4 linked regions of the Rhinolophus ferrumequinum genome follow. The protein of the gene in region 4 interacts with the protein of the main gene of each other region in a pairwise test. Links are inferred from orthologs where the notes say so. Each region holds a gene or a part of one and is shown on either strand. Other genes may lie near its edges.

Region 1 (6,931 bases), on a different chromosome or scaffold from region 4:
TGTCGACAGACCTTAGGGAAGAATCTTCCATTTTTCCCCTACCCTGCTTCTCTGCCAAACACCAGGAAGTAGAAGTGGTAGAGATTGGGAAAAAGCAAATCACACCAAAAAATAGCCTTTCTGCCTTCTGGTCTTTCAGATTGAAAAAGAGCTTTCTACCTTTCGTAGGAAAAGGACTAGAATTTGGCTTAGGCCTCTTCTGGAGCTTTCAAGGATTTTCAAAAGGAACATATTTTGGCCACATTGGGTTATTTCCCAGGGCTTCTGAAAGCCTTAATTTTTAGAAGTACTACTTTTGGGGGATAGCAAATGAAACTTAGTTTGGGCCACAAAGATGAGATGCAGCCAGAAACTCCACCTCAGGAAAGAGGGGGCCAGCATCTGGCTCAGGGCCTAGTATTCAATCAGTTAACAGGAAAGGACTGACCAGGGATTTAGACTGAGCCAGTCCATTTTCCTCTTTCCACAGGGGACTAAAGCTGGGCTGTCAACTACACGGAAGAAGGGAATTGTAATGCCCTGCCTAGATTCAGCCCCAAGTTATCCCAAAGACTGCTTCCAGGAAGCACAACAGCTAGAGCATGGGGGCGGTTAACCTGACAGCACAGATGATACCACGGGAGGTTTAAGTCTGCAGAGGGACCTCAGAGCCTTTTGCTGGACAGCAGCCACTGTAGTGTACTGAAGATCAGGCAGCTACAGATTCTCACAGTGGCTCTGAGCTGACTGAGTTTAGAGAGCAAGCAAGCGGGATGATTAACTGAAGCTGAGCCTCAGCAAGGTCCACAAGCTCCCAATGGAGAATGACAAGACTTAGTTCCTGGATCACTTGGAGAAAACCATTCCAGGTTTCAGGTCTACTGATGGCTTAAGCTTAACTGAGTCCTCAACTGTTTTAAAGGATTCTGAGGGGTCTGAGGCTAGATTTCATTATTTTTTTAAAATAATCCAGGCCTTGTTCTAGTCTTAACCCAAAGCACACTCCCAGTTATTGCAGCCTTTATTTTCCCTGAGCTCCTAATGTAAGGAAGCACAAAAATCCTGATTTCCAGTCAGGACCTCTAAGAGTTTTCAGACCGCCAAAGTTTTGAGTTCTGTACGCAGCCAAGCAGATGACCAACACTACTACACATCTCTCACCTGGACTGTGGGACTGTCTTGTCCACAAACAGGAAGATCGCCTTTTCAGAAGGAAGCTGGATCCTTTTCCTGATGATCCACATGAACTGAGCCACAGTGATGTCAGATGGAACCAGATACTTCCGTTTGTCAATGTCAACAATCTGAGAGCCTGAGACCTTTTCCACAATCACCTGGGAAAGCAAAGAGAGATCAGGACTGGATTTCTAATGTAAGACTTTGGCCTTGGATTGTCAGGGAGCTGATGAACAGTGTGTGGGCAAGGAGGTGGGTGGGAAACTGTGTAACATGAAAAAACATGCCCCTGAATTAATAGACCACATACTCTGGAGGTTAAGAACTGATATAAATATGTTATAGGGAAACAGTAAGTGCTTTTCTGTGGTCAGTTACTATATTTCTCATCCCTGATCTCAGCATGCATAAGAGAAACATAGCCCTTACTACAAAGCTTTCAACATTTTGTCTGGGCAGACCTGAGAATATCTAGTGAGGGTTCCATCAGCAGCCTGTTACTCCAAGACCCCAGAAAGGATCTACCTTCACACTACAGCGCAATTAAGATCCCAAGGAACACAGGAAATGAGAATGGATGGACTAATGGAAATGACTGGCTATTCCAGCCAGCCAAGAACCAAGCTCTTCATTTGGCCTGTTGATTCTCTCTGAACCAGGTTTCCGATTTGTCCCCCTCACGCCTCTCCAAAGAAATTGTTCACAAGCAATGAACTACAATAACAGGCCTGGATGTCCTTTAAAAATCAATAAGGAGTACAGAAACCATCACCCCTACCATGAAAGAAATATAGGGTCATATTTAGTATTGATTAAGGGAGAACTACAGGAGAAGGGGTTTTCAGCAGCTTCTCAGATTTTTTTGGTCAGGAAAAGATGACAGGGTCAGGGTAAGGAAAGGGTGCTGGAAGTCAGATAAAAATGGTGGCTCAAAGTTACAGATGAGAATGTCCTGAGACTAAAGTACCACGTCCAAGACCAAAGTGACAGTCTTGCTCCACCATCGCTCCCCAAAGTGGCAGTGACCTGTTGCCCTGTCCTAGAACATCGTTCCTTACATAATTAGCGAGGGAGCCCAGAGGCTGCAGCCAGCTCGCTGGCCTAGATCGGGAGATTCAGCACTGAGGCACCCTGAACAGCACCAGCTCCAGCCCCCTCACGCCCGCATCCGTACGGCCCCTAACCCAGTCTGGCTCATCTGCTACTAGAACCGGGGCTGGAACCTCAACTTGTCAACTGTTGAATGGCCTGGTGCCCTGTCACGGGTCCCAGACGACAGGGGTGACAGTGAGGTGAAGGGGCGGGGAGTCCACTCACCGGAACCCGGTCGGGATATTTCGCTCGGATCTTCGCGGATTCCACGCATCTGTGTTCTGTGGGAGAAACACATCGGCTGACTGTCAGGCCTGCCCGCAGGCCGGTTCCGGGGCACCCAGCCTTCCTCCCCCCGCGACCTACGCACGCCCCGGGCCCTCGTTCGGGCGTCCCAGCGGCCTCAGTCTTCGATCCCCTGGCTCCCAGCAGGGCCTGCGGAAGGCGGCACGGGGTCTGTGGGCAGCTACCCGGGGAATCCGGGCCTCGGCGACCTGAACCCAAAGCTCCACATCCGCCCCGCCCGGCCCAGCCCAGGGCGGCCCGAGTGGGGGAAGGGCCCAGCCGCCGCGCCGGCCCCCACGGCCCGGCCAGTGGCCGAGCGCTTACCCAGCGAATGGTCCTCTTTAAACATCCACTTCATGGCGGCGGCGGGGAAGGGACGCAGCCGGCTCTCGGAGCCGCGGAGCTCAGAGCACCAACCACAACAACAACGACAGCGACGGCGGCGGCGGTGAATACACGGCAGGCGGGACTTCCGGCTACCGGAGCCTAGCAACCTGCTAGGGGCGGGGCTTCCGGCGCGGCTCGCGAGGGGCAACCGAGGGTGAGTGGAGTTGATGACGTTGACGACAGGGGCATTTGTGAGGGATATTGGTGACTGGGGAGGGGATATTTGGGAACTCATAATAGAAGTAGGGTCTCGTTGGACGTTGGCTACGGAAAGGGGAGTTTGAGCGTCTGGCTGATAGAATAGGATCCTTACAGAGGGCTGTTCATGAGGGAAGCCTGACTGGGGCGTTGGTGGCGGGGAGGATTTTGGAGGTATGAATGACAGAAGAGGGGTCTTGTGATGGGGGAGGGGGTGGCAGGGTTTGTTTAAGGCATTCACAGTTCGGGGAGTACTGTTTGGAGTGGTAACAGGGAGCTCCATACCGGGATTGTGACTAATTTGAGGGTACTGTGTGTGGGGAGGGCTACTGATGACAACCCTGGGGTTCAGTACTAAGGACAGCCGTAGCAGGTTGCCTTGGACCTAGAAATTGAATTTAAACAAATCCAATTTCCTTCCTTTATTCAAGAAAAGCTGTTTAAATAAATGTTTAAGAAAAGGTATCACAAAGGCATTTGAGGACTGTACATCACCATGATCAGAAAGAGACTCCTTAACCTTAATTGGCAGAGGGTCCGAAGTGACTGTCAAACTCGGAGAATTCCCCTGAGAGCTGGTCATGAGATGAGCTTCTTTGGCAGTCAGTCATCTTGGGGTTCAGCAATCACAGCCTAGGCTTGTGTGAGTGTGCGTGTGTCACTGCCTGAGCCTTCAGGTTCCCCAGTGATGTCATTCCTTTCTTCCTAGCAGAATCATCAGGGCAGTCTGCTGTGGGTCATCGTCTGTTTATGAGCTGGTGAATAAGTAAGAAGAATATTCGCTTAATTGGGCACATGATCCTTTCCACGTGCCTGTGATGCTGATGCACCTGAAAGGCCTGAATGTTTGAACATTGTCATTCATCGTTTCCTACAGTTGAAATTCCTGACAGATGCTGTGGAATCTAGCTTCATTCTAAAAGTATTTTTGGGGGGAGGGGAAAAAAAGAAAAAAAAATAAATAAATAAATAAAAGTATTTTTGTTATTTTAAGATTGTGTGTCTGAGCAACCAAGATAGTTTTTTTTGTTTGCTTGAATGTTTTTAATGAAGTGAAAATCCTTTGAATTTCATACCTAGAAATTGCTGTTGTATACATAGGAACACTGTTCTTTCTGGGTGTCGGGGAAAAGCAGTGGACAGAATAGACAACACCTCTGCTCTCATGGAGTTTGTATTCTAGCGGAACAAGACCAAAAATAAATATATCAGGAAATGATAGGTGCTGTTTAGAAAAGTAAAACAGGGTTGGTGTCTAGAGAGTGATGGTGGGATAGAATGCTAATTAAATAAAGTAGTTTCTAGGAACGGAAAGGGAACCCCTTGTGGCTGGAGCTGAATAAACAAGGGGGAGTGTGAGGAGATGAGATCAAAGAGATCTAGAACAAAACTGTATTGAGCTTTGAATTCCATGTGAAGCACAGGTTTTGATATGATAAACTTTCCTTTTTAAGTGATCAGGCTAGTTACTCGACTGTAGATTATGGGGGGTTGAGGATGGAAGCAAGGGGAACAGTTAACAGGCTATCATGATGATCCAGGTGAAAGATGATGTTGGCTTGGACCAAGATGGTGTCTATGGAGGTGTCTATGGAGTTGGTGGGAAGCAGTTGTATTCTAGATATATTTTGAAGGTAAAGCTGATAAAATTTGCTGATAGATTGGATATGAGGTGTGAGGGATAAGTCAAGGTTTTTGTAAGGATGGAATTGCCATTTACTGAAATAGAGTGGATCCAGCTTGGCAGGTGGGTTGAGAATCAAGAGTTTAGTTTTGGATGTATTAAGTATGAGATGTTTGAGAGACACATCCAAGTGAAGATGTTGGGTAAGTAAATGGATCTGTGGTCTCAAATTCAGGAGAGAATTATTTAAAGCTATTCAACTGGATAAGATCAGCTAGAGAGGGAAAAAAATGAAAATACCTTTTTTGCAAATAGAATTAAACACTGAGGAATGAAGATGGTTGTTCACCATCTGATAGTGAATCAATGGAGGAGTTAGAAATTGAACTGAAACTCCTGCTTTCCGAGCTGGTCACTGTGTCCTAGTCCAAAGCATTTGCACACCACCACTCACATGGAAGACTTAGTACACTTCTCAGGGGAAAGATCCACCACCCACCAACCACAGGCACGACACCCGATGATCTCAGTGATGTGCAGTGTCCTTCTGTCTTCTATCTTTACCCACTTTCTTGATGTCTTTTTCCAGTTCACCATTCTAATTGGCTTCTCTGATATGCCTTAATGATATACATCACCGTCTTCTTTGAGTCATTATGTTTAGTTTATTGAATGTTCTAAAGACACTGGATGCCTTCCTTGCGGGAATCGTTAGTTGAAGAGGTGAGTCAGCAGGAGAAAAAGGATAATGCATGTATGCAATTACACATGAACAGACCTATAACATACAGAGAATAAATTTCAAATGTTGGAGAGGTGTGTGAACATGGATACTGAGGGACGGCGAGAGCAATAGGGCCAACACAAAGCCCAGTGAGGCTTATCAAGAAAGACTTCACAGAGAATGTCAATCTTATATTTTGGAAAGAAGGGTACATTTTTCAAAGGATAAACTTTCATTAATGAATAGAAACAAAAGCTGAAGTTAGATGAGGGAACTCGGAAGCCAAAGGTTCAGCAATATAGATTAATACCAAAGTCAAAGAAGTGTTGGAAACCTTTGAAGCAAACATTCAGGAGTTCTAAACTGATTAAGAAGACCCTAAATGGGAGCTCCTAGAAAGGAGTAGAATATTATTAAAATGTGTAGTTTTAAGAGAACGACTCTCTGTCCCTGAAGGTAAATTGTATGAAACATCAGAAAATTATGGACATGGAAACTGAGAAGTCAGTTCTCAGTCATGAATGCATGAAAATCACACAATATACACAAATCTTTAGCATTTAAAAAAAAATCTGATGTTCTCTCTTAAAGAATTTAAATAAAACCACAAAGACTAGCTTCCTCAAATCATGGAATAAAGATTAAATTAGTAAATACTTTTGCAAAGCTCATGGCATCCCAGGATGTTCATACACCTAAATTTTTAGCAGTCACCTCCTTCTATTTCAGCAGTAACTAAGTTGACATTAGCTACAGTACGTGTTTCCTTCTGCTGCAAGAGGAGCTTTGGAGGCAAACATCTCCTTCCTCAGAGCAGAGCCACCTTCAGGAGGTGACACTAGAACCATCTATTCTAGAATCTTATTTTAATGGTTATTGAAATAAATGAAAGTCATCCACTTAAAGCATAGATACAATATAACGTCAGAATAATAAGATTTAAAAAATACAGTTGCTATATTTAACAGTTGTGTTGCCATCCCAGACAATCTTTAAAGCAAAAATGAATAGTACTGGACCGGATATATCAAAAGCATTTTTTGGGGCAGCCGGTTAGCTCAGTTGGTTAGAGCGCAGTGCTCCTAACAACAAGGTTGCTGGTTCTATCCCCACATGGGCCGCTGTAAGCTGTGCCTTCCACAGCTAGATTGAAACGACTACTTGACTTGGAGCTGATAGGTCCCAGAAAAACACACTTAAATAAATAAAAGAGGTTTTGTTTTTGTTTTGTTTTTTAAAAAGCATTTTGTGGCTGATGACATTTTCATCTTGGACTGTGGTAAGGACCCTGGATAGTTTTCCCAAATGGGCAAGTCTTGACCTCTCTTTATGTTGTTAGGATCTTGACTTCTCTTCATCTAAAAGCCATTTCTAGGTTGCCTTCAAAATAAGGGCATCGACTACTCGACTCCATTCTGAGTACATATTCTGAGCATAAACCTCACACTATGTTTTTGATGCAAACA
Region 2 (7,676 bases), on a different chromosome or scaffold from region 4:
GACAAAGCTCTGGGTCCTCGTCCTCATTTTGCCACGAAGTTGGGGGCCAGCCCACTACTCGTTTCGGTGACACCTGGCCCTGCCCTCCCTTGAGAAGTCAGAGCTACAGGAAATCTTAAAAATCATACCGTTTATCCTTGCCACTCTGTCCCCACCTTATGGGTAATACAGTAGAGGCACCAAAAGTTACACTGACTCAGCTTTATTTTAAAAATGAATGTGAATGCACAATGTGCTTTCCATTGCAAACAGCAGGAAACTTAACAAGCCCAACACAAATACCCAACTGCAATGATTCAACACACAATTCCCGTAAGTGTCGGGCACTGTTCTTTGAGTAAAACACAAGTTCTTACTGTCCTGAGACAGAAAAAAATAACCAAACAACCAAGCAAACTAAGATAATTTTGGATATTTAGGTGCTAGGAAGAAAATCAAAGGAGGAGAGCTGCTAAAAGGATGATCTGGGTGCTACTTTAGATAGAAGAGGTGCCATGTGAGGTGGGACTGGAGTGATGAGAAAGAACGAGCCACGGGGAAAGCGACAAGGAAAAACATCTGCAAAGACTGTGAGGTGGAAACAATGGTGGGATGTTTGCTGAACAGCAGGATGGTCCGTGTGGCTGGCAGGGAGAGGAAACGCATACTAGATGGGCTCAGAGGTACCAGGGGCCACATTATGCAGGCCCTGGGGGCCACAGGCCGAGTTTGGATTTTTGATGACAGCTTTATTGAGATACAATTTACCTGCCGTACAACTCACCCATTTCAAGGAGGAGTATGGATTTTATGCTAAGTGTCAGAAGGAGTCATTGAAGGGGGATTAAATTCTGATCCACATTTTAAAGACCGATTTGGCTGCTGCGTGAAGGATGCATTTGACAGGTACTGAGAATAAGAGTAGAAGCCGGGAGGTTCCTTGGAAAAATCGTGAGGTAGCCCAGATGAGACATGGTCCCCGTCTGAACCAGCACTGATAGTGGAGAGAGACGTGTTCACGTTCAGCATATATTTTGGAGAGAGAACCAGCAGGACTGGGTACTGGGCTAGGTGTAGGGTGAGGGGAAGGGAGAATGGTGACGCCGCGTATTAGATGTGTGAGGAAGAGTGAGGGAGAGAACTGAGAATCCTGTTTTGGATGGTTAAGTCCAGGGCACCACACGGTGGCACTCTTCCGTTTGGGAGGCGCATTCATAGTTCAAGTGCCAATATTCAGAGACCGACAGTGGCCAGGCACAGAGGATACAGAGATTAAGGAAGCCCAGTTCTGGCCTTGCCCAAGTCACTCAGTCCCAGACAAGAAATACGTCTCAGGGTACCAAGGGCTGTAAGAGACAGTGTCTGTTGGGACGCATTTGGCTGCAAATAACAGACAACTCTGACCCGGTCTGGCTTAAACAATACGTGTACCGTCCATCATCACATACCACACGGAGTCCAGCCTTCTAAGGTCCTCTTCGCTTCGCCCTCTTCTGGATTTTGGCTGTATCATCACCTGGGAGCAGGATGGGCACAGCAGTTCTAAGCTTCCCATTCAGACCTGGCAACATTCAGAGGCAGAAGGAGGTCCATTTGTTTGGTGTCTCCTTCTTAAGAATGAAGGACCCTTTTTGGGAACCCCCCCTCCCCTGCACACACACACACCCAAGCAGATCCTTTACCAATCACTGGCCCCAAAGGAGTCACCCCGAACCTGACACAAGCTTCCGGGGAAGGAGAATAGGACCCCCCCCCAGAAGTGGACTAGACCTGTCAGGATTTACTCCTGGACAGGAGAAAAGGTCGCCCGGAACAAACTCAGGGCCCTGGCTGCAGGAAGATGGAAAATGGCTGTTGAACAGGAGTGCAAAGTGTCCGAAGCATGAACAGACTTGAGGGGACCTGGAAAGCCATTGGATTTCAAGAGTATCTTTTTTAAAGAGTTCAAGATTCTGCACTAAGAAGTTTTTCTTTAAACTGGAATCACAGAAAACAAATGTTTGAAAGAGAGAAAAATTTCCTCCTCAAAACAAATCCACAGCCTCCTAAGTCACAATGATTTTCGACTTCCCTTGTCCCCAAGGCCCCCAACTCCCGTCTTGTACAGATGCCACCTTCCTATAGTAGCCAGGCTTCCGCTTCATTTAACACTGCTCACAAGCATTTTCACAGGTGGCTGGCTCCTCTCGTCTCTGCAAGTCTGAGCCCATTCACTAATATTTCATTTAGTGGCCGTGCCAAAATTCACGCTACCGTAGCCACAGCCTGGACATTTGTGTTCCTTCTGCTCTTTCACTGGGATATTGGTCATAGGCAGGACTGGACATCTGGGGGAGATCCCCTGGCCCCCAACGTCAGTCAGAATACAGAACATCTGTGAGCCTCCTGATACAAGAACACCGACAAACGAGCTAGGCTTCTCCAATCAGATACCTGCACGTGAGGCTTTGAGTTGACCTGTGTTTGGGGGTGGGGAGTGCGGGGCAGAGAGAAGGTCTCTTTCTTGATGCAGAAATGGCTTCAGTGCCAACAGCAGTAGCTGTTACAGACAAATCTCAGTCCTGGCATGCAGTGTATGGTGGCGTAGCGACAGTTTTCTTATCAGGTCAGATCAGTTCTGTGGCTGGGGCGTTATTTCTCCAGCCCATCCCACAATTCCGGAAGCTGCCTAATACCCTTAAAACAAATCCCTCTTCTGCTTACACCAGCCGGCGTCAATTCTGTTCTCTGTAAATCAAAACTCCTGACTTACAGAGGATGCTACATCAACAGCTCTACAGAATTTTCTCTCCCTTTGGACTTACTTTTCTGAGCACTGTTTCTCAAATCTCAGTTGTTCATGTACCGCCTCCCCCCACATTTGCCATATATACATACCACCTATATTATCTACCAAATAGCGTGTTTAAAATCGATTCATTTTCTTAAACACAGTATTTACTGTGTTTATTCTTTGTTTTTTAACTAACACGCGTTAAAATAAATATAGCGCCACGAAAATGGAAAGCTTTAAGTTTCTTTAAGAAGAAAGTTTAAGTACCACCCCCAAAAAATCTCATATCCCTTAGTGGCCAATAGTGTCTTAGGACAAATTTCCAGTAGGGTGACTGAGATACAGAGTGGGGACCAAGCACACCTTTTTATACTGTACCAGCCCCTCCCTAAGCAGAGCTGATGGGTTGGAGGACCAGAGGGAGCGAAGTGTCAGTATTAAGTTCTTCAGTTTAGATGAGCAGTAAAAGGATAGTTAAACGACAGTTTGGTACAGTAGTCAAGTGTACACTGTTTCGGAATTCAGTTGTATTGGGTTTCTTCATCATCCCCATACGCAGTTTTCTCACCTGTAAAATGGGGGGAATATGGGCCCTACCACACACAGTAACACTGGGAACCAATTCACTGACTGTGAACCAATGGGAAGCATTTGCATATCTGATCCATAGAAGCTCGAGTTTACTGTGTCCCAAACTCTGAGCTTCAGAAGGGTGTGTGTGTGTGTGAGAGTGTGTGTGTGTGTTTGTGTGATACATAAATATGGTTTCCCTGTCTGTGCCCCGACCTTACTGAGTCATCATCTCTAAGCAAGAATTTAGGGAATCTATTTGAAACAAACACCATCAGGTCAATTGAGTCTTAGGACGTGATGAATTGTAGAAACATTAACCAGGGCCGAGCTGCTGCTATTACCATCCCAGGGTGATAAGACGATGGATGAAGGTTATTATATACTATCCTTGCACGCATCCGGTCAGTCAGCAGATATTTACTGAGCACTCACTGGGTGCCCCGTCCTGTGTGAGATGCTAGGGACACGGTGGGGACCAGAAAGGCTCCGGTTGCTCTGAAAGGTCCCTGAGGCTCACCCTCAGGTGTCATTAGGGAAATTGTGTGGGAGGGTGGGGCGACGAGCAAGGGAATTACTCCCGGGGCTCCTGAGGGCCATAGGGGTAGACGGCAAAGCTTTGTCTGTCCCCGCAGGCTGTGAGCCAAGAGGGTGGATATTCGAGAGTCAAAGACTGGGGGACCTGGAGGCCCCACGACCCCATTCCTGCCTCCTCCCCAGCTCATTTCCTTTCCGAGCCAGACGTCAGGATCTCCGTATGAAGTAGATATCCCTCCTGTAGTCTCATGTTACAGATAAGAAAAGAAAAGCGCAGAGGAGAGATGGGTCACAGTTGAGTCCCACCCCCGAAAGGCGCCCAGGACCGTCTTTCTCAGCCTGGCCGCAGAGCCTCGTCCTACCTGCAGCTGCGGGACAAGGGCCGCCAGATCTCTCGTCTGACCCGCGCAGTGGGTCGGACACCAGGGGGTTCGCGGCCAGGACGTTCCTGAGCAGTCCGCGCCGGGGCCCCCTCCCTCTGGACCCGGTCTCGCCCTGCCTACCTCCCACACTAAGCGCAAAAACAGCCCGCCGCCCTGGGAACTACAACACCCATGAGGCTTCGGGGCGCTGGTGCATTATGGGACGCTCGCTCTACACCGCTCCCCAGGGCCGCGGGAGAGAACTGCGTGGACTTTCTCCCCCCGGGAGGCCGAGTGCGTCGTGGAAACCTCTGTCCTTCCCCGCCCCGAAGACACCAGCATCTACCTACCTTGACATTTTCCGTCCCGCGCCCGGAAGTCGGCGAGGGCCATAAAAACTGGTGGCTAGAGGCGCCGGGATTTGCCCTCCGGGCCCTCACTTCCGCCGGAAGTGTCCTGCAGTCGCAATTGCCCTTTCCTCATTGCACGCGCGGGCACCCGGTACCGTCTTCGGGGCGGGCGTACGACCACCATGGCGGCCACCACCCTGCTGCGCGCGACGCCCCTCTTCAGCGGTGAGGGGGCGGGGAGGGCGAGCGCGGCCCAGGAGCACGTGGGGGCCGTCAGGAGTGGGCCGGGCTCGGACCCGCGCCCTGACTCCAAACCTCTGCCCCGGCAGGTCTCGGCGCCGGCCCGACCCCCGCGCTGCAGGGTCTGTTGCGGTCGCTGAAGGCCCCGGCCCTGCCCCTTCTGTGCCGCGGGCTGGCCGTGGAGGCCAAGAAGACCTATGTGCGCGACAAGCCCCACGTGAACGTGGGAACCATCGGCCATGTGGACCACGGCAAGACCACACTGACCGCGGCCATCACGAAAAGTAAGCGGGGTTGCAGGGGGCGCCTCGGCGGCGCCCGCTCTGCCAGCGGGAGGGACCTGGGGCCGGGGAGGCGGGGCCAGCGGAGGGGCCGCTGGAGGCGTTTAGTGGAGCCGCAGGTGCCGGAGCTCGGGTGGCCGGTGGGTTGGAAGCTGTTGCAGGAGACAGCTTTCCCCTCCCGTGAACTTCTTCGTGATGGCTGCATTGGGGGGAACGCTGGACGGCCTCCCTCCCGCCGTGGGGGCTGCTTTGTAAGCGGAGGCTTCGTTTTACCCTCGAGAGGTCGCTGGGCAGGAGCTTGAGACCCTTGCTCCTGCTTTTCTGACTCGGTTACCTCTGCTGGAGGAGTCGAGGGGAGGGGACCACCCTCCGGGGCTGTCCGCGTAGGGTGAGGGGCCCAGGGGTGTGGCCCGCGCCCGGCCTCTCCCCCTGGAACCGCAGCTGAGAGGTGTGTTCTCCGCCCTCCCTTAGTTTTAGCGGAGGGAGGCGGGGCCAAGTTTAAGAAGTACGAGGAGATTGACAACGCCCCCGAGGAGCGCGCCCGCGGTATCACCATCAATGCGGCCCACGTGGAGTACAGCACTGCGGCCCGCCACTACGCCCACACAGACTGCCCGGGCCACGCAGATTACGTTAAGGTGAGAGTGGGGCTGGGGACAGCGCCAGGAGCGCCTGCCGGCAGGAAAGACGGGAGACTTGTGGGGAGGAGGCTGAGATACTCAAGACGTCTAGGCTTGAGACCTGTAGGGATGTGGACCGAGGAGATGGCTGAAGTAGGTTGTTTCTTCTCTTCCCGCACCCAGAATATGATCACAGGCACCGCCCCCCTCGATGGCTGCATTCTGGTGGTGGCAGCCAATGACGGTCCCATGCCCCAGACCCGAGAGCACTTATTACTGGCCAAACAGGTAGGCAGAGCCTGGGTAGGAGTGGAAAGAGGAAGAGTAGGGAGCGGGGCCGCTTAGGACCCCATGTCTCTTTCCCGCCTGCAGATTGGAGTGGAGCACGTGGTGGTGTATGTGAACAAGGCAGATGCCGTCCAGGACTCCGAGATGGTCGAGTTAGTTGAGCTGGAAATCCGGGAGCTGCTCACGGAGTTTGGCTACAAAGGGGAGGAGACCCCTGTCATCGTGGGCTCTGCGCTCTGTGCCCTGGAGGTGAAGGCAGCCAGGCAGGGGGCTGCTGTGCGTGGCAGAGAGGGTGGGGTGGGCAGCAGAGCTGTGCTGAATCTGGGTGTGGTTCTGGGTAAGCAGGATGGAAACGTCAGAGTCCTGTCACCTCCCCCCGTAGCAACGCGACCCTGAGCTCGGCCTGAAGTCTGTACAGAAGCTGCTGGAAGCCGTGGACACCCACATCCCTGTGCCCACCCGGGACCTGGAGAAGCCTTTCCTGCTGCCTGTGGAGTCAGTTTACTCTATTCCCGGTGAGAACCGTGTCCGTTCGCATCCTGTCGCCCTGGCAAGAGCCTCGCCCAGGGTCCCTGATGGCCTGTCTTGTTCCCTCCCAGGCCGGGGCACGGTGGTGACAGGTACGCTAGAACGTGGCATTTTGAAGAAGGGAGACGAGTGTGAGTTCCTGGGACATAACAAGAACATTCGCACGGTGGTGACAGGTACCAGAAGCCTGGGGGTCCCGGGGCTGGCTCCAGGGTGACGGCTGTCCCTGCAGATGCTTTGTGCCTCCCCTCTGCCCCAGCCCGTCCTCCCTGGTCTCCCCTGCTCCCTCCTAGGCATCGAGATGTTCCACAAGAGCCTGGAGAGGGCAGAGGCTGGCGATAACCTGGGAGCCCTGGTCCGCGGCCTGAAGCGGGAGGACCTGCGGCGGGGCCTGGTCATGGCCAAGCCAGGCTCCATCCAGCCCCACCAGAAGGTGGAGGCACAGGTGAGCCCGGAGGGTGGAGGTCAGGTGGGCAGGGCTGAGCCCATCCGGAGAGGCAGAGCTTCCAGCCACGTGCTGTCTCTTGCAGGTTTACATCCTCAGCAAAGAGGAAGGAGGCCGTCACAAGCCCTTTGTGTCTCACTTCATGCCCGTCATGTTCTCCCTGACGTGGGACATGGCCTGTCGTGTCATCTTGCCTCCAGGGAAGGTACGGGGGGCTGGGGAAGGTGAAGGCGCGGGGTAGGGGGCGCTCTTCGTATCAGCTCTGCACTTACAGTTCCGGAGACGTGACAATATGGGTGACTTTGCCGTGGGCGGAGAGGCTGGCAGGTGACACAGATGAAACTAGCGATGGAAGGGTCTGAACCCACGGATTTGGGGTGAATGAGGCCTGATCCAGTATTCCCTGGGCTTAGCTGTACTTGCATTTATGCACAGAAAGGCTTGCAGAAGGCGGCTTCTCTTGAGTTTCACTGTACGCAGGGCTCAGAGAAGTCCGAGACAAGGAAAGCTGCATAACCCCGAATTTCAGGCTGTGTTCTCAGGTGCATTCCTGTGACCCTGTCCCCGGCCCCCTCTGGCCTTCGCCTGTGCTCTGTACCTGCCTGACAGCTGGGAGGAGCCGTCCTGTCACGTTGGCTGCGTTTCCCAGCAAACAGGTGGCGGCAGAAGGGCACCCTGCAGGCCGCGGCTGACCTGTGTCTGC
Region 3 (7,609 bases), on a different chromosome or scaffold from region 4:
AGGCAGCCATTGTTGTTATCAATCCTAGTATCTGTACTGCCAGTCTCATTAATTCATTCAGACAACCTAAAACGTTTTGTCAAAGCATGGATCTTACGTTAGATATCTGTTGCATATGCTATTCCCTTAGAAAGAAGAAAAATTAGGTAGCTACTTCAAGCAATCAAAAGATCTGTTTATATACAAGTTAAAGAAGCATAGATATACTTTGCTAAAGGATTAAATACATTATGGTTTACATCACATAATAAGATCTGGTCAGATTTTAATTTGTTCAGACTCAAATGTGAAAAATAATGATCTATACTACTGAAAATATAAAAAGGTTTAGCTTGAAAAAGGAGAACAAAACAGGTTTTCAAAAGCATAGATTTATTCTAAACACATTTCTTTAATCCCCAGCCACAATGTTAGCTTGCAAAATATCTACTAATAAAAAGTTCTTTAATACCAACTGTTTGTTTCGTGATCTGATGTCTAAACCTTTGATGTAGGTAAACATTCTAACTTTAACATTTTGCCTTCAAGCAAAGTTATGTTCTACTTTTCATAACCCAGTTGTAAAGATTTCCAGGAAGTAGCAATCTGGTAGCAATTTTAGTGGTGTTTAAACTCAATGTCAGAGATGCTGACATATTATGACCGCATATCAGTTTAATATATCAGAAAAGTAAAGGCTAAACACTTGGTAATAGCTACAGGAATTCCAAATATATGTTTTGGGTGAAAACAAGGTTATAGGGCTGAGATACCAAATGGGTTTCAACATCTAACACCAATTTTAGGTGGCTGTTGCCTGAATCATTGTTAAGAATTTTAAGGATTAAGTTAGTGATTTGGGAGAAAGTGTGCTACGCTGTGGTCTAAAAACAATGACTTCCCTGAGAAGGCAGGAGGGACTGATTGGCCAGCTGTGTTCTAAGTTCAGGGTCTTACATATGGCTCAAGGCAACTGGAGTTCCAGTATTGGGGTCCTACCATCCTGTATCACCGCTTCTTGCTTGTATTCACCGCTTTGTGCATTGTTTCATCCTCTCTCTGAAAAATGGCTCCCCCGATCCCATACCCACCCCCACTCTGTGCATGAGGCAGGAGATGCTGCCTTCACATCACCTGCGTTTACTGTAAGCAGTGCAGGCAAGTAGTAGAGACTAAGTAGGGTTCTCATTGCAAACAATAGAGTCTCTACTTGTTTCAATCTGAAAAAGAATTTAATGGGGGTAGTTCAGAGAATACACAGGAAGATTGGTGGAACAGGCTCAGGCAGGAACCAAGAAGGCTAGACAAAGTCCGGGTTCTGCCACAGGGATGGTAGGCTTAGATGCAGGCTCCATCAACACGGAACTCTTGTTGCCTACTACTACTGGACTGCCCTATTCTGGACACTCACCTTCTGCCACTGGCCTTTCAACGCTACCACAGCCACCATGAATAATCTCCAAGTCACCTTTGTGTCACTCCCTCAAAATTCAAAATTTCTGGGCGTATTGGTACTCAGACCATAGGGCTACAATCGAGCGATTGGTAGAGGATCGATTCTCAGAGAAGAGGAACTTGGGTTAAACAGACATCCTCAAAAGGTGTCCACTGCATGCTATATTCTGCTAGGTGAAGGGCATGCGAGAAGATGCCTGGTACCATCCAGCTTAGGAACTGCTGTCCCAGAAGAATGAGGAACCAAGTTGAGAGTATGAAAGTCTGAAGTTATGGGTAAGGCCACCCAGGGGTAGGTAAATAGGCACCAGGAAGAACTGAAAACAGGGACTTTACTATATATAACAGGCATGGGACCAAATTGTAGGAAAATCAGAAAGAACTGAAGTCAGAAGTGAACCAAGAGATGACCCAAAAGTAGGTTCCAATAGCAAAAACTAGACATCCAAAAACTAGTCCCAGAGTTAGGGAGGCACACCAGGCACAGGTGGACTTCTAAGATTGTAGACCAGGTAGCCATGTAGGAGCTAGAAGCTAGAAGCTAGAGAGTGTAACAAAACAGAGCAAAAGCATGGGCAGGCATTGCTCAAGTTCATGAACATTGGCATTTGTTACATCTATTCATTGTAGGATGTGTCCTATACATCCAATGAATTAGATGTCTTAGACAGTCCTTGCTGCGTTGAGGGGAGTAAAATCTGTAATACACAATGACCAGCCCTGAGGCAATGAAGGCATCAGGAAAATTCAGAAATTGATGGGTTGCTGCACCTCTCCACTAACCTGAGCACAATGAGCCTAATGGTCAAGGATGAATACTTTCCTTTTGCCTGATCCTCCAAATCTTTGCTTAGAGGGGCCCTCATATTCTTCTCATGTTTTTCCTAACTGGGCCTATGAGCAGTTTAGCCTGGTGGAGGAGGCAAGGCTATGGTGGTGCAGACAACGTTAGACACTAAGTGGAGTGAAAAGATCCAGGCTTTGAGCCATTAGCACAAATCCAATGGAAGGCATGTTGGGGGTGGGGTGGGGTGGGGTAGTGGGATGGTTATTAGAGAGCAGAAACCAGTGCATGCACCCTATGTAAGACTGCAGGCTTTCTGCTTTTCAGGAAGAGAAAAACATCATCACAGCCTCAGTGAGGGAAGCAGCAGCAGCAGATTACTGACAGTAGGTAGAAGTTTATCCCAAACACAATCATTTCCTGGCAAAATCACATGTTCCAGGGTGAGAGAAAGTATGCCCCAAATTTTTTAAACTTTCAAGAAATTGTAACCATTAATAAACTTAAATACATGATGCATTTCACTTGTGTAGGGACTTAACGTATTTCATTCATTGTTTGTTTCAAGCTTTCCCCTAGCTTTTTCATCCAGAAGAATGTCCCATGGATCCAAGATTTAGGTCCCTTATCACTCTTTAACACATAAAATCCCAAACCTCTATGCTGTGTGCGAGGGAAAAGGATGTGCTTTTTTTCATACGGTTCATGAATGAACAGATTTTTACTTAAAAACAATTTCTATTCTACCAAATTCAGTGAGACTTTAAAGATTCTCTCTCTCTGTCTCTCGCTCTCGCTCTTGCTCTCTGCTTTATGGTCTTTTAAATATTCCTGGAAATAAGTGAGCCATTGAGTCTAAGATTGAAAAGTCTCCAGATTATTTACAGACTTAAGCTTGGGATTGTATGATGAATATTCCAAAAAAGAAAACAGAGAATGAGGTAATAAAAAGAATCAAAATGAGGGTGGAGAGAAGAAAACTCAGTAAGTTAATACAACCTATATCATGTATGACAGATTTTGACACCCTCTCCCATCTTTAAAAACTACATACAGAACATCTTCAAAGCCACTTTACCCTTTAAACTGGGTAAACTTGCAGTTGAGAGTTGATTTTTTGAGGTTGAGAGTTTAGAACAACAAAAATATTTAATTTAGAAGTTTAGAAACAGCCCAAGGAACTTATTTTCTAGTTTAAAAAAAGCTGAATACAAATCTACATGAAAATTTTAATGCCTACAATAAAGTCAATGGCAAATGAAGTTTCAGTAGCTAAATCAAATAAACCACTGTTCCCTGTTATGGGTACCTTTTTGTTAACGTGAATGCCTATACCAACTTTCTATTCATTTGGTGAGCTGAAGAAAAACATTGTTTAAACCCTTATATGCATTTCCTGAGTTCCTAGAATACCAGAAAACTGACACATGATTGTACTATTTCGTATCTGTGGAAGATGACTGAATTTCGCTAAAAACCACAAAGGAAACCAATAGTCCCACACTAATAGTTGATAGCCCCACCAAAGAGAAAATACAAAGAGGAAGTTAATCTAAGAGTGTGACTGGGCAGAAGTGATTTCAGCAGAAAAGCCTCAATATTCAGCCCGTTTGACTAACCCTCATCTTTATCCCAGTCCCCTCTGGACCTGCTCTCTTCTGCAGCGACTGGCTACAAGGAAAATAGGAAAGGTGCTTGGATTCAGATCAGCAAGATTCTAGTTGTGGCTGCGCCACTTTCAGGGTCGCAGCCTCAGTTTCCATAGCTGTCAAACAGAATAATACTTGTCTCAGGTCCCTCCCTGGGATGTTGCCAGGGTCGTGTAAAAATACTCTGTCCCAAGATAAGTCAAAGCCACCATCATTGGGAAAGTCGCCAACAAAACTCGGCTTCCCTCTACAGACAAGGCTGGTTCGACCTACAGTCAACAGGAAGCTCCTGGGCTGGGACAGACTCGGAAGGCGGCCAGACGCGAGCGTTTTTGGACGGCGATCAGGCTTGTGATGAGGGTGTTAGTAACGCACCCCTGGCTCCTGCAGCTGTGCGGAGGTTTTACTATCAACGACAATGGGTGAGGAAGCATAGTACTGAGAAGCAAACAGCCAACCAAAATAACTCAACCCTGTCCTCCCCCACAAAAACAAACAAAGCCACAAAGCCCTCCGCACTACAGAGAGCGGGTGGAAGAGAAAAGATAAAGGCGTAGGGGGCGGAATCTGCGCCCCCAGCTTCATCTCCTGCCGCAGCCCGGTCGGCGGCTGCAGGGTCCGCAGGGTGGGGAGGGGCGCTGTGGGCCGGCTCTCCGCGTGCAGCAGAGCCTTCTCTTCACGCCCCCTCAGCCTACGCCACCTCGGGAATCCGCCCCGGACCCCGCCGCCATGTTGGGTCGGGATAAGTGCCTCGAACTTGCCACCTAGGGGGACCGCGACAGGGGTGGTCCGCAGCCCCGGGCGGCGCGCGCCGGCGCAGGAAGGCTGGGGGCTCTCGAGCCCGGGTGGGCGCGGCGCCGGTTCCGGTGAGCCGGCTGGCAGCGCGCGCAGGTAGCCGCAGCCCCTGCCCCCGCCCCCGCCCCCGCGTGGAGGGGCGGAGCCAGGAGTGAGGGCGGGCGCGCAGCGGTGGGGAGGTGCGGAGTGAGGCCGAGGGGTGGGGGAGCCCGGGAATTCCCTCCTCCTGAAGTAACGAGTTAGGGGCCGGCTGTACAGTCGTCGCTGGCGCGGGGCTCCCGGGACGAGGAGGTGGAAGGAGGGAGAGGGCCCTGAGGGCCTCGCCTCCGCCCCCCACCACCCCGCGCCGCAGCAGCAGCGACCCATGTGAGCGCGACTCGAGGGCAGGTACGGACCCCGCGGCGCACCGCGAGTGGAGGCGGCCGACCCCGGCGGGGCAGCGCTAGGCCCAGGCGCCCGCCCGCCCCTGGAGGCGCCGCCGCTCCCCGCCCCCGCCGGCTCCGAGTCGGGAAGTTGGGGAAAAAGTTCTCCCATCCCCCGGCCCGGCTTGCCGGGCGGGCGTGTCTTCTTCCCGGCGCTACCTGCTCGCCCCCTGACTCGGTCTCCGCCCCGTCCAGTCCTTCCCGGTCCCGCCCAAGTCCGACTTAAGGTACTAGGATCGTTGGGACACCTCCCCCCCACCCCACCCGCGTCCGTAAGGTCTTGTGGGCCACCTGGCGAGGCGGGGGCGAGGTTTATTTTGGCTCGTTCCCCAAAGTAAAAGGCGAGGGCAGCGTTCCCTTTCTGTCCATAGATTGGGGGTCAGTGTATCGACTTACGCCGGTTGTCTGCTGTGCGGGGAAGGCGACCGAGAGTGTGTGTGTGTGTGTGTGGGACGAGTGGGTGAGCCTCACGCTTCACTTGGTTTGATTGAAAACCACAACATGTTCAAGTTTTCCTTTGTTTTGTGTTGGGGGTTGGGAAATATGCATTCACCATCCACTTTTACAGTATTATGCCACTGCCTCCCAATGGGTTCGGGTTCTCTGTCCACTTGTATTACAGACAATTTTGTTTTAAAATGTGTTTTTATACTTGATAATTGCTTCCAGCTTTTGCTTTATGGGACAGCGTTGTTTTAAGAAGCTCTTCGAAAATCAAGTCCGATGTAGGAACTACTCTGATTTTTGTATTGTAGTGAGTGGGATTGGTTCGGATTTGGTTGAATTATTTTCTGCGTAATTGAAAAAGGCATGGAATAACACTCTAACAATTTATAAATTATTAAGGTAGAGAAATGAAAAGTCTCTAGTGGAATCACAACTTTATGCTCATGCCAGTTGTTATGTGTATATGTTACATTGGTGTGTGTTTTCACATTGATGATTTCACATGTGCTGCATATGATTGTAGTATATTCGTGCATTATAATTGTAGGATTACAGTGCCAAAGGTAGCTTGGTAATTCTCAGTATATTTAAACCATCTTGTTAAATTGCTAAAGTTAAGTTACACATTGAGGAAAGTATTACTAAACGTGTACATGTGACTGCATTTAAGGCCAAGTATGTGGTAAATCTAATGTTTTAACTAGTGCAGTGTTTGGCACACAGTGGACAGGAAACGTTTTGAATGGACAGGTAATGAAGGAGTGTCTTGTCTTAGAGGCCAAGGATCTTGTATACCTCATATATGATTTTCGTATCTGTAAAAAAGTTGTATTTCATTAAGCCATACATTTGTTTTACTAATATATAGAACCCATGCCATCGTTTGACATTTAGAAAAGGAAGTTAAATTATATTTTAATTTTTGGACATTAGCTAAACCTCAGTGGAGATTTTGAATACTGGTTGACAATTCATAGGGTCCTAAATTTGAAAGAAAAAAAAAAGTTGCCTTTGATCTGAATACAAAACAGTTCATATCCATGTTTCCAGAATAAAAGATAAAAGGGCTCTTAAAATATGTCTCTACTATAACCACCATAATGTTATAATAGCTTTAATTTTACAGTATGTTTTTGCTGACTTCACAAACCACAAACTTGACTCCTTTTTGTTCAACTGAAAGTGAAATTACAGCTTTGACTTAATCTTCCTGGGATAGATGGAATTTGTCTTATGGCTGAAGTATATTATTAATACATGGTTTGAGTAGTTTTTTAATTCAGGAAATTCTCAAGCTGCAAAATCAATGTCCTTGCAAATCTTCAAGGTATGTAATGTTTAAGGAATAAATATTTTAAAAGAGTAACAGTGACTCACTATAAGTGAAATATTACCAACCCATGGTGTAAGATTTCTTTATACAAAGTTCAGCTTTGCACCTTTTTAGACAGTAAATAGTTTATTAATGTGATTTTTCTTTATAAATATATTTAATTCTCAATCTAGTGTTCAGTATAGGCATCATTTATTAGTTTCTGTTAGCATTATACTAAAAAGCCTGATATCAAAACATTTAAAAGAGCAATACTAAGTTCTGGTATGTAGGAACTTGGGTGATAAAACTATATTAAAAAAAAAAACCTGCAAGGAAGTGATTTCTATAAAAATAAAGAGATGGGAGGAGGGAGGAAGTTGTGATAGGGATCTATCTGGCTTCTGAAGTGGTGGCAAAGTTCTTTTAACCTGATGGTAGTTGCAAGGGTGTTGGCTTTAGTATAAATCATTAAGCCATACATTTGTTCTGTGTGCTTTTGTGTATCTGTGTTTCAGTTTACATAAAACTTTTTTTTCTTTTTTAAAGAAGCTTGTGTTTAATGTACTATGTAAGGTGCTTGGATAAAGAACTTAATATTTGGTGACTGACTTAAGAATACTGCCTGGGCTGTCCTTTGCAAACAGGATTAGTCTTACTATATCATAATTATCACATAACAGCTAGTGTATGTAACTATTTTGACATATAAATAACATGTTAATGTTAATATTTTGAGGGAAGACAGCAGGTTTTACTAACTTTA
Region 4 (7,505 bases):
CCAACTAATCTTCTAGACCGTCTAATTAATCTTCACACCTCCATTTCTCCTAGCAACCAACCACCCTGACATTAGTTTTAATTTCTTATTATGATCAAAAAAATCTATAGTTACCTACAGCTAAATATAATCTCCTCAGCGTCCCACTCATGTCCTGAATTGGTCTGTATTGTTAACTAGTTAAGTTAATGCCTATTAACCATTCCTCCTTCACGTATGCCACAGTAGCACATCTGTTTTATATCCTAAGAAAATTACAAAAATTTACTACACTGAATCTAAACTCATTGCAGCAAATCACGTGTGTAGTATTAGTCCTATTACACAGTCCCTGGGCTGATGCCTGGCTATTATCCAAACATGTATTACTATAAAGACTGTCCCTCAGGTAGGAAGTCCGCAACAAAGGCTCAGAAAAGGAGTGGAGGAAGCAAGCAGCAGTCAAGTCTCAACAACATCCCAGGCAGCGTGCTCCACAAGCATGTCTGTCCTTTGCTTGATGGCATAAGTCACTAAAATGAACCAACTTCTCTGCTCTATCCCTAGGCTTTCCAAGCAAACTTCTGCCAATTACGGAGTTTCTCACTGAGTTTGAGCTACAAGGAGAAAACATACAATGATTTAATTCTATTGCTCAATTACTTTTTAATCTCTTTTAGGATAGGGCTTTAGGCCCTGACACTTTAACCAATCACCCATGGCACCAGATTATGAGCTTATTTAAACAGGGGACCAGACCCTAAATTATGGAGATCAAGGTACAACTAGCCTGTGGAGAATCGTCTGAATAACCAGGGCCCTAACCAGGCATCTCTTTTAATTACAGGCTTTATTCATAAGCAGCATTAATAAGTATACATCATGAATAAATATTGTACCTCTTCATCACAGAACCTTCACAATGATTGTTTCTACCATCAAATGGCATTTACAAAAAGGCACAGAGGAGTGCACCATTGTTCCAAGGTGCACGTAAAATACAAATTTAAAGAATTAATTTTATACTTATCAAGTTTAAATATGTAAATATCTAAATTAATGTAAGATGAATTTAACTTAGAATCTAAGGAAAAAAATGATGGTGCACATGTTAAGCACCCACACGAACTTTAAAAATTCTCTATGGTAATGAACATTTTCAAAATAAACAGTCAAACTTGTTTCTGACCCGTTACTTGGCTAATCTTTTATTCTAAGAATAACAGAATTAGATCTATAGTAGCAATTATGTAATCATGTGATCTGAAATGTTAACTGGTTAGGTTAATGCTTAACTGCTTAATGTATTCCATATTATTAGAATAAGCAATCCATCCTTTAATTCCAACAAAGGCTCAGTGTTCTACAACTCCTCTTCAAGTATTACAATCCAAACTAGCCCACAAAAATCAACACAATCATCTGTATCATAATCAATAATTTTTACTGAGAATTTTCACTGCTCTCTATAGAGCTGACAATCCTAGAGACCAGTTCTACTGTGGGAATATCACAGGTTTTTCCAGTTGTTAGCACTGATCAAGTAAAATATATAATTAACTCATCTATTTCTTTCTCTTTACTATCACTGAATCAGATCCACTACATTAGCTAAATTTGAGAAGGGGAAAAATATATAAAGAATCAAAGGAAGGGTGAGGAGGAAACAGTGGAACAATTGTGGGCAGCGGGGAGGGAGATCACCAAAACCCAACACTGAGTCTCTGAGTGTAGATTACACTAATCATATCACAGAGAAAAGTCTCAAGTTAGAGCTCTTCTGGGATTAACAGTGTAAAACCACTAGTAAGTGAGGTCAGTAACTGTCCCATGTACAAAAGGGCAGCAGTCAGTCAGGTTCCCAGTGAAATGTAATGAAAAAGATGTTATTCTCACCAGCCAGTCACTCCGCCCATTACAATCTGGGTGGCTACTGAGTATTTTTCTACCATAGGTCCAGAACTGTGGCCAAACACTCGATTCCACCAGTGGTGTCTTCTTGCATACTCAGTTAAATCCAACACTTCATAAGATTCATCATCACTTTCATATTCTTCAAAATACAAAATGGGGAAGATACATTTAGAGTCAACCAAAATCAGAACCGTCCTACACAATTTTTATCTGTTACAAAGCACTATTACTTTTCGACTACAGTTAAAAAGATCTAGATGGAAACATTAAGAGTTTGTTACATCCAATCCCTGAGACGAGGGCCTCAAGAGTAAAAGGGCCTAGCATCTCCTTTGCAAAGGCCCAGGGCCGGCCTGGGGGCCTGAACCAGGGCTAGGTCAGAGTTACACAGCAGTGAGGGGTCGTCCCCCTCCCCCAAATCTCAGTAGGATCAGGCCAAAGTTACACAGCAGTCTCAGTAGGATCAGGCCAAAGTTACACAGCAGTAAGGGGTTAACCTCCAAATTTCAATAGCGTCAGATCAGTTTCACAACATGAAGGGTAACCCGCAAATCTCAGGGCCAGGGCTAGAACTGGGTCCATTTTCATCGGTGGGAGAAAGAAGGGGTTCTCCTGACAGAACCGATTAGGGGGTCCGTCAAGAAGAAATTACTTCAGAGTTAAGACTGAAAAACGCGTCTGAAGATGGAAATGAGGGGCCAGAGAAGAAGGTAAGGCCGGAGGTGGGCTGTGTTGGGGGTGGGGATCGCTTTTCGCCTGCGTTCCGCCGAGAGGGGAGGGGGAGTATAGATCAGAGGGGTGCTCAAAGGGCCTGTCGCAGAAAAACAGCCCCAGGAACCCTGGAGCAGGGGAAGGAAGAGGCGCCCCTGGAACAAGGTCGAGAGCTGTGAGCCGCGTCTCAGATACTACTTCGGGCCCCGGCCGCTCACCTTGGGGAGGGGGGTTCCGGGTCGCCATGATACCGCCGGCGGCCTGTATTGAACGTGGTCCCCGCCCGCCCTCCTCTCCCCACTACTTTAAGAGCCGCTCTAGGCCCAGATGGAAGTCTATGGTCTCTTTTTTCCTCCTTCTTCTCTTTCTCCTCGGAGCGCGTTATCCTGTCCCCGCCCCCTCCTCTTAGCGCAGGGTCTTCTGCGCAAGCGCAAGACTGGTGGGACGTTGGTCGGATAGCAGTCCCACGAGGGCTTGTGGGAGCTGTAGTTCGTTGTCGTCGGCAACCCTAGCTTCCCACTCCACCCCCCTAGAATTTCCACGACCTAAATTGTTATTTTATTTTAAACAGTCTCAGGGCTGGAGAGGAGGGCTTCATTACATGTTATAAAGCGAAAACCAGCTTGACATTTTGAACACTGTACCAGAATTCAAGCCCTTGAGAAAAAAAGGCTTTTTAAAAGGAAATAAGAGAAACCCTGTTTCAAACCACACTGTTCTAAGGAGGCAAGGGCTCACTAATGGGTGGAATTTTTTCTAACGCTCTGCTGCTGGGAATTGAAAATTTTTTATCCGCTTCCTCTCCACACGTTTCCTGCCCAGTAACCTGAGGGGGGTAAAGAAAGCCCTAGGAGCAGACCTAACTCGAGTTAGTCCTCTGACATAATTTTTTAAATTTTATTGGAGAATATTGGGGAACAGTGTGTTTCTCCAGGGCCCATCAGCTCCAAGTCATTGTCCTCCAATCTAGTTGTGGAGGGTGCAGCTCAGCTCCAAGTCCAGTTGCCATTTTTAATCTTTAGTTGCAGGGGGCACAGCCCTATCATCCCATGGAGGGAATTGAACCAGCAACCTCGTTGTTGAGAGCTTGCGCTGTAACCAACTGAGCCATCCAGCCACCCCTCCCGAAGCTCAATGGCAGCTCATTGTCTTCAATCTAGTTGTGGAAGGTATAGCTCACTGGCCCATGTGGGAATCAAGAACCAGCAACCATGTTGTTCAGAGCTCACGATCTAACCAACTGAGCCATCCGGCTGCAAAGAGGACGTAATTTTTAAACATCATTTTCTTATTTAAATCTGACAGAGGAACAAGGTCAAGTTCTTCACTTTGAAGCCCGATAGGCTTCTGTAGAATGAAAAATCATGTTGATCACCAAGCAGCTAACTCAGGTTCACAAAAACCAGCCCCAAACTTATTTTGAACTTGCATTGCACCTGCACTTGCTGTACAATTAAAACATCCCTCTCAGTATTCGTTTTAATGGAAAAACAAATTCTTGTATAGGTTGCATTACTTAAAATATTGACTTACATAATTACACGGCAGCTTTTCAAATCCTAGTGCTTTAAAAGCGAGGGTTGATTCTCTGAAGTTCCTTAGCCTGTGGCCCTCAAAATGCAATTCTAAGGCTGGCTGGAGATATTAGTGTTCAAAAGACAGTTACTTTGTGTAAGATTACACTTTTCAAAAACTAAACAACCTTGGGGGTGGCTGGATGGCTCAGTGGGCTAGAGCGTGAGTTCTGAACAACAGGGTTACCGGTTCGATTCCCACGTGGGCCAGTGAACTGAGCTGCCCCTGAGCTTCTGGAGGGGCGGCCGGATGGCTCAGCTGGTTAAAGCGCGAGCTCTCAACAACAAGGTTGCCCGTTCATGGTATGGTGGGCTGCGCCCCCTGCAACTAAAGATTGAAAATGGCAACTGGACTTGGAGCTGAGCTGCACCCTCCACAACTAGATTGAAGGACAATGACTTGGAGCTGATGAGCCCTGGAGAAACACACTGTTCCCCAATTAAAAAAAAAAAAAACACAACTTTAAGGGACATAACTTCAGATGTCCTGACTGAAATATTTTTCCAAAAGTTAGAAATTTGAGTTCATACACTTCTTCCTTCCCATTGCCCACCCACTCCTAATGAAATGCTAACAAATAGAGAACTAGCAAATGGGCCATTGAAAGAAGAGAAAGGAGTAAAACAAGGCAAAGGAAAATTACAAATTGAAAGAGCAAAATGTGGGCCAACCCCGTGGCTCAGGTGGTTGGAGCACCATGCTCCTAACACCAAGGTTTTTGGTTCGATTCCCACATGGGCGTGAGCTGCGCCCTCTACAGCTAAGATTGTGAACAACAGCTCTCCCTGGAGCTGGGCTGCCATGAGCAGCCGAGGAGAGCTGCTCAGGGCTCATAATACCAGCATGGGCCAGGGAGCACCACAACTGGACTGAGAAACAACGGCTTGAACTGGGGATGGGGATGCGGTGGGGGAGGCGGAAGAAAGGGGGGAAAAGAGCAAAATGTAGGGCTGACTGGGCCAAAGACATCCAAAAGATACTTTCACGTGTTTCTAACAATATCTGCCAACTACAGAAAGAAGTCATTTTTCCTCTCAAGGCAATAAATAGTATTTAGAATCAAATGACTATCGAGAAATTAGGGAGAAAATGGAAATAAAACACTGCCCTTAAGATCCCAAAGAATAAACCTTTGTATCCAAAATAGATCCCGTTGACCCAGAGAAGAATATACATGCCAAAAAGGACTCTTCATGGTTAACTGGGCTCAAATTCATAATAAGAGTGTAGCAGCCATTGTTTACAGAGGTCTCTCATGCACTCTGTATTGCAGGGGAAAGCTGCCCTGAGCTGTCTGCCTCCCGCACTGTGTTACTGCCATCTGAGCCAACCTTTATAAAGGAAATCCTACTGCTTGTAAATGAACCAATGGGCTGAAGACTTGCCCCAGCCAATTGGGGCTGTGCAGCTATATCATCATTTGCATATTCACTGACCAATCAGAGTGGCTCTATTCTGACCAATCAGTGCTGTTTGGACCAATCAAACAGTGAAGATTTGGAGTCTTCATTTGCATAGAAATGAAGCAGTTAGGGACCGAGGGCAGGTATTCTTCTCTAGATAAGCCAGCTTCACCTCTGCCTCAAGGGAGTGCACTTTCAATTTTCACCAAAGGCTGTATTTCCTTGGCTAGAGCTCCAAAACCAGCAACAGCGAGGCCTCCTTGCCCAGGCTGCCTTGACAGTGCTACCTCACAGCTGCTGTTCCACAACAGTGTGGTTCCACAATTGAGCTGTCTCACAGCCATGCTATTATTACACAGCTGAGCTATTTCATAATTGAGCTGTTTTCACTGAATAAAGCCTCTCCTCTCACTGCACCCCAAATTGAGGACCCCTGTTGGCATTAAATTGGAGACTACCTTTGGTTGTCAATCCAAACATGAATTAAAAGGCAATAATTTTTCTAAAGGCCTTGAGGGCTGAGAAGGAACTTCTTAATGCTCTTCCCTTCCTTCTTACAATGATATGCCCTTGCTATGACCTTGAGGAAGTTGTTTGCATAATGGTTTTCTAAATGTAAGTTTTTTCTTACCCAGTAGAGAAGAAGCTGTCATTTTGTTGGCTCCATGACAAATGGTTTATTGTGTAAATTGTATACACAGACATTAATAGACACTATGATCCTCCTGGTGGGTTCAAGCGGGTGATTTCTTTTTTAATTCCCATTTTAAATAGTGTATGTTTTTCCAGCCAGCATTAATAAACATTTTCATCATGAACACATTTATCTACAACTGTACCAAATCATAATTTGGGTAGTCCCCAACTTTTCAATGGGTAGTGTTTCAAAAGTTTATGAGTCACTTATTTGAAATAGAGAACATTTTCTATATAATCCATAATGAAGCTACTATAATATAACTATTCCTTCCTGATCTCCACCTTTCCTCATTGTCTTTGGGAACCTCATTTGTTAAAAACAATTTAGTCAGAATTAAGAAAAACAAAAACCAGACAAAACAACAAACAAGAACATTTCATACTCCCTGGATAATCTAATCTCCCCCATTTACTACAACTGTCCCTACTAGATACCTGCATTTGAATGACACACAAATTGAACAAGTCCAAACCAATTCCACACTGTCCTTGAAGCTACCCAAAGAAACAACAACAAATTTAGAGTCACTTCTCTTTTTTCCTTCCCTTTTTCCCACAGTGAAGCAGCCATTTATCCTGCACTTGCACCACCTAGGCTGTGGCATCCGTTCTCTCCTTGATGCTCTCCAAGGCCATCCTTTGGACCATTGCAATGGCCTCTCAGTTGGCTTCTTCCTGCACTTTCTTGTCTCTCCCAATCTCACCTCACTGCAATCTATTCTGTCACTAGATCTTCCCTTCTAAAACCTAAATCTCAGTTGATCCTTCAACAACACAGGTTTGAACTGCACGAGTCCACTTATATGCTGATTTTTTTCAATAAATGCTGCAAATGTATTTTTTCTTCCTTATGATTTTCTTAATAACATTTTCTTTTCTCTAGCTTACTTTTGTTCATGAGAAAACCACTGGCCCAAAATGGCATCACTCATGCTGAAAGCCCATAATACCAAACCTAGATTTAATACCTGATCTAATTGTAGGATCAACCTCTCCCAGAAACGTAATCTTAATCAACCAGTCTGGAGTTTTCTAGTCAAGCACTACTAAAGTAATCTGTTACTTGGGCCCTTACCATCCCACCCCACTCCCCATAAAAAGAAGAGGCAATCTTCATGATAAAAAACCTTTCAGTTCTCTTCCCCCAAAGAAATAAAGTCCTCCTCCAAAAAACAATCCTTTTTTCCCTTTTGGTAATAGTTCCCTTGCCCCACCCTACTTCCT

The links.
Region 1: the proteins of FUNDC1 (region 4) and GABARAPL2 interact in binary tests that used the Homo sapiens proteins (3 or more experiments, as listed by UniProt). The two-hybrid records come from large-scale screens. The link is inferred for Rhinolophus ferrumequinum from reciprocal best matches to the Homo sapiens genes FUNDC1 and GABARAPL2.
Region 2: the proteins of FUNDC1 (region 4) and TUFM interact in binary tests that used the Homo sapiens proteins (3 or more experiments, as listed by UniProt). The two-hybrid records come from large-scale screens. The link is inferred for Rhinolophus ferrumequinum from reciprocal best matches to the Homo sapiens genes FUNDC1 and TUFM.
Region 3: the proteins of FUNDC1 (region 4) and YES1 interact in binary tests that used the Homo sapiens proteins (3 or more experiments, as listed by UniProt). The two-hybrid records come from large-scale screens. The link is inferred for Rhinolophus ferrumequinum from reciprocal best matches to the Homo sapiens genes FUNDC1 and YES1.

Annotation. Positions count from the first base shown.
Region 1 is NC_046298.1:22,923,712-22,930,642, reverse strand, and holds the start of GABARAPL2 (gamma-aminobutyric acid receptor-associated protein-like 2), read right to left. Parts: upstream 3,019-6,931; 5' UTR 2,891-3,018; coding exon 2,857-2,890; intron 2,529-2,856; coding exon 2,473-2,528; intron 1,314-2,472; coding exon 1,141-1,313; intron 1-1,140. UniProt on the Homo sapiens protein: Ubiquitin-like modifier involved in intra-Golgi traffic. Modulates intra-Golgi transport through coupling between NSF activity and SNAREs activation. It first stimulates the ATPase activity of NSF which in turn stimulates the association with GOSR1.
Region 2 is NW_022680357.1:1,235,207-1,242,882, reverse strand, and holds the start of TUFM (elongation factor Tu, mitochondrial), read left to right. Parts: upstream 1-4,662; 5' UTR 4,663-4,753; coding exon 4,754-4,796; intron 4,797-4,900; coding exon 4,901-5,095; intron 5,096-5,563; coding exon 5,564-5,730; intron 5,731-5,895; coding exon 5,896-6,000; intron 6,001-6,084; coding exon 6,085-6,249; intron 6,250-6,382; coding exon 6,383-6,515; intron 6,516-6,599; coding exon 6,600-6,704; intron 6,705-6,821; coding exon 6,822-6,973; intron 6,974-7,058; coding exon 7,059-7,178; intron 7,179-7,676. UniProt on the Homo sapiens protein: GTP hydrolase that promotes the GTP-dependent binding of aminoacyl-tRNA to the A-site of ribosomes during protein biosynthesis. Also plays a role in the regulation of autophagy and innate immunity.
Region 3 is NC_046302.1:16,336,174-16,343,782, forward strand, and holds the start of YES1 (tyrosine-protein kinase Yes), read left to right. Parts: upstream 1-4,603; 5' UTR 4,604-4,758; intron 4,759-4,849; exon of another isoform or gene 4,850-5,049; intron 5,050-5,159; exon of another isoform or gene 5,160-5,311; intron 5,312-7,609. UniProt on the Homo sapiens protein: Non-receptor protein tyrosine kinase that is involved in the regulation of cell growth and survival, apoptosis, cell-cell adhesion, cytoskeleton remodeling, and differentiation.
Region 4 is NC_046284.1:89,034,786-89,042,290, reverse strand, and holds the start of FUNDC1 (FUN14 domain-containing protein 1), read right to left. Parts: upstream 3,012-7,505; 5' UTR 2,851-3,011; coding exon 2,823-2,850; intron 2,033-2,822; coding exon 1,876-2,032; intron 1-1,875. UniProt on the Homo sapiens protein: Integral mitochondrial outer-membrane protein that mediates the formation of mitochondria-associated endoplasmic reticulum membranes (MAMs).